Linked DNA regions of Ovis aries. The protein of the gene in region 3 purifies or fractionates together with the protein of the main gene of each other region. This does not show direct contact. Links are inferred from orthologs where the notes say so. Each region holds a gene or a part of one and is shown on either strand. Other genes may lie near its edges.

Evidence for each region. The genes of interacting proteins can lie anywhere in the genome.
Region 1: the proteins of PALS1 (region 3) and PATJ purify together in Homo sapiens (co-immunoprecipitation; 5 studies listed by BioGRID and IntAct, counting the BioPlex papers as one, with this or other methods). This does not show direct contact. The link is inferred for Ovis aries from reciprocal best matches to the Homo sapiens genes PALS1 and PATJ.
Region 2: the proteins of PALS1 (region 3) and AMOTL2 purify together in Homo sapiens (affinity purification with mass spectrometry; 3 studies listed by BioGRID and IntAct, counting the BioPlex papers as one, with this or other methods). This does not show direct contact. The link is inferred for Ovis aries from reciprocal best matches to the Homo sapiens genes PALS1 and AMOTL2.

Annotation. Positions count from the first base shown.
Region 1 is NC_056054.1:37,092,476-37,096,130, forward strand, and holds part of PATJ (inaD-like protein), read left to right. Parts: intron 1-174; coding exon 175-570; intron 571-3,655.
Region 2 is NC_056054.1:255,614,956-255,618,610, reverse strand, and holds part of AMOTL2 (angiomotin-like protein 2), read right to left. Parts: intron 1,556-3,655; coding exon 1,260-1,555; intron 280-1,259; coding exon 1-279. UniProt on the Homo sapiens protein: Regulates the translocation of phosphorylated SRC to peripheral cell-matrix adhesion sites. Required for proper architecture of actin filaments.
Region 3 is NC_056060.1:77,294,688-77,297,599, reverse strand, and holds part of PALS1 (protein PALS1), read right to left. Parts: intron 829-2,912; coding exon 652-828; 3' UTR 1-651. UniProt on the Homo sapiens protein: Plays a role in tight junction biogenesis and in the establishment of cell polarity in epithelial cells.

The sequences.
Region 1 (3,655 bases), on a different chromosome or scaffold from region 3:
CAGTAAGGTTATATTTTCCTTTATTGTAATGGAGAGCTGTTTGGGTTAACCATGCATTGGCATATAATACTGTTACTGCAGTTATGCCAGGGGTTAATTTTCTAGTTAATGTGTAGAGTGCAGCTTTAAGACAGAGTTTAAAGTTTCGTTTTGTTTTGCAATTTTTATTCACAGGGATTTAGAGATGAGCCCTATTTTAAAGAAGAGCTTGTGGATGAACCGTTTCTAAATTTGGGAAAGGCTTTCCAGTCCCAACAAAAAGAGATAGACAATAGCAAGGAGACCTGGGAAATGCATGAATTCATGGTCCCTAGGCTGCAGGAGATGGGTGAAGAAAGAGAAATGCTTGTTGATGAAGAATATGAGCTCTATCAAGACCAACTTCAGTCCCTGGAGTCGTATCCCTCATCACACATTCAAGAAGCTGCTCCTGTTCCGTCCATGAAGGAGGTTCACTTTGGTACACAGTGGTTCCCGGATCGTGAACTGCCCGAGCCTCAAGAAGTGGGACGCGTGATGAGCATGTATCCTCAGGACATGCAACAGTGCGGCTGTAACCCGGACGAAATGGTAAGGGATTAGAATGCATTTTCCGTATCCTTCCTGACTCCTCCCCTCCCCATCTCTGTGCATCAATCATGTAACTTTTAAACACACAAACACAATTTAATGGATATTTTCATCACTGAACATTTTTTTCCCAAAATATGTACCATACAATGTGTTGGTTTTAAGTAAAAGCTCATCATTTCTTTATTGTATAACTTCTAGTTGGAGTCAATAAGCTACAGTTGCTTTGCTGTTATGATGTGGTTTTTGTTGTTGTTGTTTTAACCTTGCCTTTTTAGTGATGTTTTCCTCCTGATACCCATTTCAAGGAAGAGTTCTTTCATCATTTGTGATTAAAAAAAAAAATTCCCTCAGGGAGATATAGCTCTGTATTTCTCACATAATGTGTTTGTCAAGAAAAATCAAGGCAAAATTGATTAAAAGATTTGTTATTTCTGTCTTGCCTACCCACACTGTCCTCTGTTTTATATGTAATACTAAATAGGAAGTCACTGAACTCTAGAAAATTATCTTTACATTTGTGATACTGCCTGTGGACAACTTGGCAGGAAAACATTGTATTTACTAGGTTTGCTCTTGCTATTAAATCACCAGTAAACTTATTTTTAAAAATGAAATTAAGGTTAGCTGGCCACCAACTGGAATCTTTTGGTAGGGATGTTTTTAATGTTTTATTTTTGTTTATTTCCTGACCCAAATTAACTTCCAAGCAAATGAAGAGAAAGTTTTCTGTATGGAGTACGTAGCGGTGTGTTCGGAACAGTACGGTACCCTCCTCAGTGAGGTCAGCAACTTCCCTGCAGTGGTGTGCAAAGTGGCCTTTGTTTGTTCCCTCACAGGGCAGATATAGCTGGGTGTTGTCCTTGCCTCCCTTCTACCTTCCTCCCCTTTTCATTTCATTATGGGTCTCTCTGCTATGCGAGATGCTATATTTATGTATTTAAGGAACCCTTGAGGATTACCCTTGGTACTGGACTCTGGGCAGTCTACCAGAGAACAAATGTTTTGGAATTATGTGAATCATGAGGGAAGAGGTGACATAGAATCACCTGGTATGTTGCTGTTCACACTAGTTCTTTCTATCTCCGCCAGTCCCATTCAGTCCCACTCCTGTGTCTGTTAAGTGTTTGACCTCAAACAGAATATTTAGTTATATGGAGCAAATTATGAATATATAAATAAATACTCTTGTTATGTCTGTTTTCTTCTATAAAAATAAATTTTTCCATTTATTCAAATATAAGGCAACCTGAAATATAGTCCCATTTTAATATATAAACCTTTAGAGATATAGATGAATAGTATATTCATAATATTTACTTTATATATTTAGTTAAGTGTCCCTGTTTTAAAAGCTGTAAAATATCAGGTGTTTGCCTGTTCTTGGATTTAATGAGGGAATTTTACTCATATTCCTTCAATGCATATTTAATGTCAGAGTCTGCATTATTACTAGAATCACTTTTTGATCTTCCAATACTGTTTTTCAGCCATACCATCTTCATTTCCATCTATGTTGTTTGAGATATAGTAACTTTTGAATCCATACTATCAGTCAAGTATCATTATTCTCAAGTATCATGACGTAACGTTAGGTTTTAAAAAAATTCCTCTTGTGAGTTTATATTGATGACCCAATCAATCCACAGTGTAGCCACTTCCTCTATTATTTATCAAGCTCATTATAAAGCTTGTTTTAACAACATTCAGTGCTCACAGTTTGAACGATACACATCCTAGTTACTAACTTTGTTAAACTTCCCAGCTTTCTGATTCTGCTAGGTAACCTTTAGGAAACTACAGGCTCCTTAAACTGGCATTGATTAAGATTGTTTTAATCCTACCTAACAGTACCTAACAGTACCTAATCTTACCTAACAGATTGTCTTACCTAAACAGTATTTCTTTCTTTAAGTAATTATATGTTCCTGCTTTTGGGCATTAACTCTCTCTTTTAAATTGAAGTATAGTTGATTTGCAGTATTGTGTTAATTACTGCTGTACAGCAAGATGATTCAGTTATACATACATTGCTGTTCAGTGGCTAAGTTGTGTCTGACTCTTTGTGACCCCATAGACCGCAGCATGCCAGGCTTCCTTGTCACATTTTTACCTGTTCCATTATGGTTTATCATAAGATATTAAATATAGTTCTCTGTGTTATACAGTAGGATCTTGTTTATCCATTCATCTATAAAAGCTTATATCTACTGACTGCAACCAGGAGGAGGGCCATCTCTTCCCCAACTCCATTCCCATTGGCAACCACCATTTGTTCTTTATTTCCATGGTTCTGTTTCTGTGTCATAGATAGGTTCATTGGTGTCATATTTTAGATTTCATGTAAGTGATACCATATGGTGTTTACTTAGTATGATAATTGCTAGTTGCATCCATGTTGCTGAAAATGGCATTATTTTGTTCTTTTTTATGACTGAGTAGTATTCCATTGCTTATATCTAAACATCTTCTTTATCCACTCATCTGTCAATGGACATTCAGGCTGTTTCCATGTTTTGGCTATTGTGAATAGTGCTGCTATGAACATGGGGGTGCATGGATCTTTTTGAATTATAGTTTTTCTGGACATATGGGCATTAGCTATTTTCCCCATTTCCCATCCATATTCCCACAGTGATGAGTGTAGGTGAATAAAGAAAAATGTTTTCCTTTACCTTCTTAGGTTCCTTTGGGTAGGGCCCTGGAAGTTAAACTGACGAAAGACAGATTATCAGAAGAAAAACAATTTATTAACACCTGCAGCATGCACACACATAGGAAAAACTCAGTGATAGGTCACTCAAAGGAGGGGTTAGAACGTGGGCTTATGCAGCATCTCAATGAAGGACGGTACATTTGTAGACGAGTGTCAAGATAGAGGGAAAGGGATTCAGGCTTTTAGGCTTAGCTACTGTGTGAAGGTAAACATTATGGGGGAAATTGATGGAACATAAGGGTTGTTTTAGTAATGTTTGTCGTATACATTTCTCTTGGCGTCATCTCTGAGGTGGAAAGAGTCTAGAGTCGTCTTTGGTGATTGAGAACCAGGGGAGGATAGGAAACTTTTCTGTGTCTCTTCTTTTTC
Region 2 (3,655 bases), on a different chromosome or scaffold from region 3:
GCCGGTGAGCAGGCCCTCGTTGAAGCTGCTGCTGGGCGAGGGCTGGGGCGAGTGCCGGATGAGAGTGGTGTCGCGCTGGGCGGCAGCCGTGGCGGCCGCATCCATGGCGAACTGCCTCATGGCACGTTCCTCCAAGTACTTCTGTTCCCACTTGGTCATGTCAGCTTCCAGCGCCAGCACCTGTTCCTCCTTCTCCCGCAACTGCTCCGACAGCCGCAGCGCACTGAGCTCCGGGGTCCCACCACTGCCACCGCCACCTCCGGGGGGGCCTGCCTGTCTCTGCAGAGAGAGGGGTACCGTGGTCAGGGGTGGAGGGTGGGGTGTGTTGGCTGCAGGTCCTCACGGCCACGTGAGGAACCTGAGGCCAGTGCTTGGTCAGCTGGCACCACGCACTCTGCCCAGCCTCCTTCCAGCTGGAGACAGAGGGGAGCCACAGGGCCCCACAGCCTTGCCCCAGAGCCTGTGGCCAAAGGTGCAGAGGAGATTGGGTTTGCTTTTGCATAGTGACCATATACACTGTCCTCCAAACTGGGGAAGGGGTGACTTAATGACATGGGAAAACTGGTGTAAACAGGACAGACCCCGGCAATCCAGGAGCTCTGGTCACCCTGCCTCTGTGGGAAGGGTGAGGCTAGGAGTGGAGACAGGACTCTATCTGGTCTATAAACACGAGAGCGATTTACACAGTCCAAAGTGAGGATAAAGGCCCAGGATCTGGGTGACTATCTTCCCCACCTCCGATCTTGGGGAGACATATAAGAGCTGGCTAGTCCCCACTCCAGCACTCTTGCCTGGAAAATCCCATGGACAGAGGAGCCTGATAGGCTGCAGTCCACGGGGTCGCTAAGAGTTGGACACAACTGAGCGACCTCACTTTCATGCATTGGAGAAGGAAATGGCAACCCACTCCAGTGTTCTTGCCTGGAGAATCCCAGGGACGGGGGAGCCTGGTGGGCTGCCGTCTATGGGGTCGCACAGAGTTGAACACAACTGAAGTGACGCAGCAGCAGCAGCAGTCCCCTCCATCACAGCTCCTGAGAGACTTTCTCCAGAGACCAAGGGTGCCAATCCCAGCTGCTGCTGAGGATAGAGGCCCAAGGCTCGAGTCCCTGAGGTCGGCACACGGTCAAGGGGCAAGGCTTCTGCTGAGACTGATGGGCCAGGAGGGGACTTCCGTAAGGTTGGCCCAGGTGGTCCTAACTTTCCAAGAGGGCTCGGCCTGGATCTCAACAGGGGCTCCTGGGGTCTTCCCAGCTCACCTGCTGTGCACGAAGGGCCTTGAGTTCCTGCTCCAGGCGCGTCCGCAGACGTAGCTCCAGCTGCTCACGCTTCTCGCAGGCAGCCTGCAGCTGCCCCAGGGCCTGCTGTAGCCGCTCCACCTTCTCCACGTAGGCCTGCTTTCTCCGTAGCTCCTCCTCAGCTCTTGCCGCCCGACCCTGTGCGTTGCTCAGGGCCTGCTCCAGCAGCTCGGCCCGCCGCCGCTGGTCCTCAATGGCTCCGCGCAGCAGTGCCATCTCCCGCTCTAGCTGCTCCTGCTCCTGCTGCTGCTCATAGCCTGCAGCGAGAGAGGGAGGGGCCCGGTCAGGGGCGGCAGCTCCCTCGCTGCCCCACAGAGCACCCACAGGTGCCATGCTCTGTGCTGACCGCTGCTCAAGCTTGACTGCATCTTCTCAGTAACACAGGAGTTAGGTACCCTTATTAACCCCATTGTATGGGCCAGGAAACTGAAGTTTAGGTTAAGGCCTGAGCAAATGGGAATGTCAGACCAGGACCCTTGCAGTGATAACTGGGCCACACTGCTTCTCTGCTGGGACGTGGCCTTGCCAGGAGAGAGCGAGAGACACTGTCCACCTGTGCTGGGTGTCACACCTCCAAAACACATTCACAACTTCCCTCCAGCCTCATGGTGATACCAGAGACTGGGCAGGCAGGAACCGCGATGCCCATCTCCAGATGAGAAAACGGAGGCTCAGGTGGACTGTCACGTGGTCATCATCCAAGTGGGAGAAGCACCGTGTGCTGCCCCAGGAGTCAGGCATCTACACATCTTATTCCCCTGAAGCCTCCAATGACAGTCTGGGATCTGGGATCCCTACCTTCAAGAGGAAGAATCATAGGAGGTGAATGGTGCTACCAGGTGGGGATCAAAGTTAGCCTGCCTCTGAAGAACCAGGCTGCTTGGGTATGGCGTGAGGCCCTCGTACTCAAGAGGCCTCAGAGCTTATTCTGTGAAACCAGGCACCCCACCCCACCCCTAGTGTGCAGGCTGCCTGCCCTGCTGGAAGGCAGAGGGGGACCTGTCATGGGGCCTGCCTGATGGACCCAAAGGCACCATCTCTAGAGCAGCACTGTCACAGCAGAGTGGAATTTTCTGCTGTAATGGACTTGCTCTACGCTGTGCCAAGCAGGGCAGCAGCCACTAGGCACATGTGGCCAGTGAGCACTTGCAATAGTGCCAGGGAGGAATCAAATTTTTCATTTTATTTCATTTTAATTAATTTTAATCTTTGGGCCACGTGTGGCTAAATACCTATCAGATAGGACAGTATAGACTCTGGAACAGAAGAGAATTACACAAGGCCCTGGGGCAGAGAAAGAGGACACAGGCCACCCAGGTCAGCTCTGGTTCACTCTGAATTTTTGAAGGCTGGGCCCAGGCCCACCTCATTCTTTGGGGTGAAGGGAAAAGTTGGCGAAACTCAGTAACACTGGGCCTCTCATCCTGAGCTGGCCTGACACCTGAATTGGGTGGAGGGGGCAGGCAGGAGTGCTGACTGGGACTTTGGGCCCAGAGACAATGGCCCTGTCCTGGGAGGCTTCACAGAGATGGACAGCTTATAGAGTTAGCCGGAGGCTGGCAGCTCATCCCAGTCTTAGATGGTCCCATCTTACAGCCTCAGAATCTGAGGTTCGGGTGAGAAGAAACTGCCCAAAGGGGACTCGGCTTGGGAGAACCAGGCCTCAGGACTCATGGCCAGATGCCCAGGGTGGGCAGGGCCTGACCAGAGCTGGGAGTCTGTACTGCTTGCCTACTAGGAAAACAGACAGCACTGGCGATCGGGGCCACAGTCTCCTACTAGCGCTAACTCTGGAAAACAGGTGAGCTCAACCACAGACATTTTCCCTGAGGATTCTTGCTTCTGGATGTCAGGAGCAAGGAAGGGTAGTTTGGCTTTCCTCAGCCCTTGGGGACGGTACCAAGGGCCCAGCCTTTGGCTTCCAGAAGGTTCCTGCTGCCTTGCACATCTCTAATACCCTGGTGGCTTCCCTGGTGGTTCGGACAGTAAAGAATCAGCCTAAAATGCAGGAGACTCAGGTTTGATCCCTGGGTCAGGAAGGTGCCCTGGAGAAGGGAATGGCAACCCACTCCATTATTCTTGCCTGGGAAATCCCATGGACAGAGGAGCCTGGCTGGCTACAGTCTATGGGATCGCAAATAGTCGTAAGCGACTGAGCAACTAACACTTTGAAGGCCCTGGTAGAGCTCGGAGGCTTGAGACCTTGGCCATCCCCAGCCACCAGGATAAAACTGGGGGGAGGGTGCCGCCGCCTCCAGGCTGGGGTGGGAGCAGATTCGAGAGACACAGAGCGGGGCCATGGGCTGGGGAGCAGTGGAGGGAGCAAGAGGCCTTCCATGGGGGCAGTGAGGCCCCAC
Region 3 (2,912 bases):
GCAGTGAAGTCTGATCCACGAAGTTTGAGCTAAAAAATTGGTGCTTCTAATGGAATGTTTTTAAGAATTAAAAGACATATAAGTGAATTCAAGGCTAACAGAGTAGCTCCAGACCAAAGTGGCACCATTTTTTAAAAAAGTAAAGTAGTTCTGATGACTAAACCAGTCTTCTAACCAAATACTGTTGTCTTGCCCAGTGCACAGCACAGTTCCCCCTCACTCCCAAATTCTCATGAAATCATTTAAATTAACTGTTAAATAACATCAATATTTACTGCAGTGTGAAATACGGACCATTGTGTATATATACACGTTTTTGTGGAAATATGACTAGGCAGGAAAGATTTGGTTAGATGAAAACAGAATTAAAAGGCTTTTACCATGGATAAACTAGAACGGCTCTGTTGAAAACTTCCATTTAAAATCCCCATCTGAGGCAAGAACCTCTAAAGCCAGATACAGAGAGAATAAAGACTGCTGTTAACAAATTGCTTAAGGGGATTTTCTTCTCACTAATTCAAGATCTAAGAACATGTCTACAGTTTACACTGCCTGCCACCTTCTCAGAGACGTGCTCAAGTATCAGGGCTATCTTCCTATGGGCAGTCTGCCAGGTCAAGTCCAGTCCTGCTACAGAACGAATGCTTTTTTTCACCTCAGCCAAGTGGATGGCACCCACTGAGGTTCAGTGTCAAGTTTGTTAATCAACCTAAGCAGTTCCTGATAGGCTTTATCAAGATCTGAGTTCACAATTGCTGTGTCAAAGTAGTGGCCATTGTTCTGCTCCATCTCTCTAGTCTTCTCAATGATTTCTCTCAACTCTTCAGGCTGCAAAGAAAAGATGAAAAACTATGAGGTAAACCATCCCAAACTTCACAATGAGTCAGAGATGGGTGAAAAACAAGAAATGGCCTTAACATACTGCTTTCCTTCCGTCTCTCAAAATACTCAACTTCAGAGCTCCTCCCGAACCCTGTCATGTCCACAGAGATTCCCTTTGCTTTGGCCTCTTCAGCACACTCACTGCAAATCATTTGTGACTCAGTATAACGTATATAACCTATTTATGGGCTTCCCTTGTGGCTCAGCTGGTTAAGAATCTGCCTGCAATGTGGGAGACTGGGTTTGATCCCTGGGTTGGGAAGATCCCCTCGAGAAGGGAAAAGCTGCCCACTCCAGTATTCTGGCCTGGAGAATGCCATGGACTATGTGGTAGTCCATGCAGTGGTGAAGAGTCAGACACAACTGAGTGACTTTCACTTTCTTTTCATAGCCTGTTTATACTGCTCTGTAGGTTTTATGTGTTTCTGTCTTATCCACAAGAGGCTTCAAGAGCACAGACTATTAACTCTGAATTCTCTACAGACGCTCATTTTCAAACATTTTAGGTCATCATAACCTCCTCCTAAAACGTCTTCTGTAACAGAGTGAACTTTTCTGGCAGGACCCTAAATACCACCTATTCTGGCTCTTACAAAGAGCCTCTGCCTTTTCTATTGTGGAGTTTAAAAGAGTAAAACCATGAGAAAAGGATCAATAGAATGGGTATCTTTTTTTTTATGAAAACAGGCTGGAAAACCAAGATTTTAATAAGTATGTTTTTTTCGGAAATAGTTTAAAACTTTAAGTTGATAGACAATTTCAATACACCAAGGAGGTCTTTAAGATACAAAAACAAGTATCCTAAGAGTTTGGGAAGCCAAATAGAAGCAGGCTACTTTAATATGTAAAGGAAGCAAATGTTTTCACAGATAAGCAGATGGCAAGGTTATATGCAAAACTTATCCAGAACCCCTGATGATCAAGCACAGGTGTCCAAGAAAGTGAAACTGCCTCCAAAGCACCCCGTCAATGAAGAGAACTAATTAAATGTCCAATGTCTCAGCCACAGAGGCCATACATACAAAATATACTGGACCCACAGTATCAAGCAATTTATACCATTCAACCAGTCAAACTTTTATAACAGTAGGAAAACATACTAAAAATATGATAGCTCTGGCTTGTCCTGAGTTGGTTTCTTGTGTGGCTCTCTCTAATTTTCATTCTGGAATGTTGTGCAGCTGGCTCTGGCACACAGAATCCTTTGTTTCCCAGCAGGAAGCTACTACACCATTGTAACTGAACACACTGTGATGTTCTGGTCACAACTTATGTTTACCCAAAGCTCAAGGTTACTGAAAGAACATTCTAGAACTCAAAAGAGAATCTAAACTTTGTGTTACTAGATTTGAAATGTAAATGTTATTAAGCTGCACATCTTACATAGATTCACATGAGTATCTAATCCTAAATTTTTCCTTATCAAACAAGTATTATTTTATCTTTTGCCAAAAATGACATATAATTTATTTGGTACTTTAATTCTTTTACAAGTCACAATGAAATTGAAACAAAATGATTTTGCTCAAAAATCTCTGGCCTGAAAAAATTATCTATAGGCAAAATTGACCATGATAATTCACACTATTAGTTTACCACTCTTAAGACCCCATTATAGCAAAACCAGATTCAGAATGTAACAAGATAACTGATTATTTAAGTTGTGCATTCAGTGACGAACACCATTACTCTCTTAGCTAACACTATTTCACAGAGTTAAAATTTAGGATCAGTTTTTACTTAACACTTCTACTGTGTGATAAGCATTATTAATTACCAAAGGAGATAAAACATAAAAAGCAATCAGATACATCACCCTTTACCCAACAGCTGCAAAATATACACTCTTACTGGTGTGCAGGAACATGTGCCAAGACAGAACAGATACTGGGTCATAAAATAAGGCTCAACAAAATTTGAAAGACTGACATCTTATAGAATATGTTCTCTTACCACGATGGAATTATACAACAATAAAACATTCTAAAATCTCCAATAGAGAGAAATTAGATACTTCTAAATAACCCATG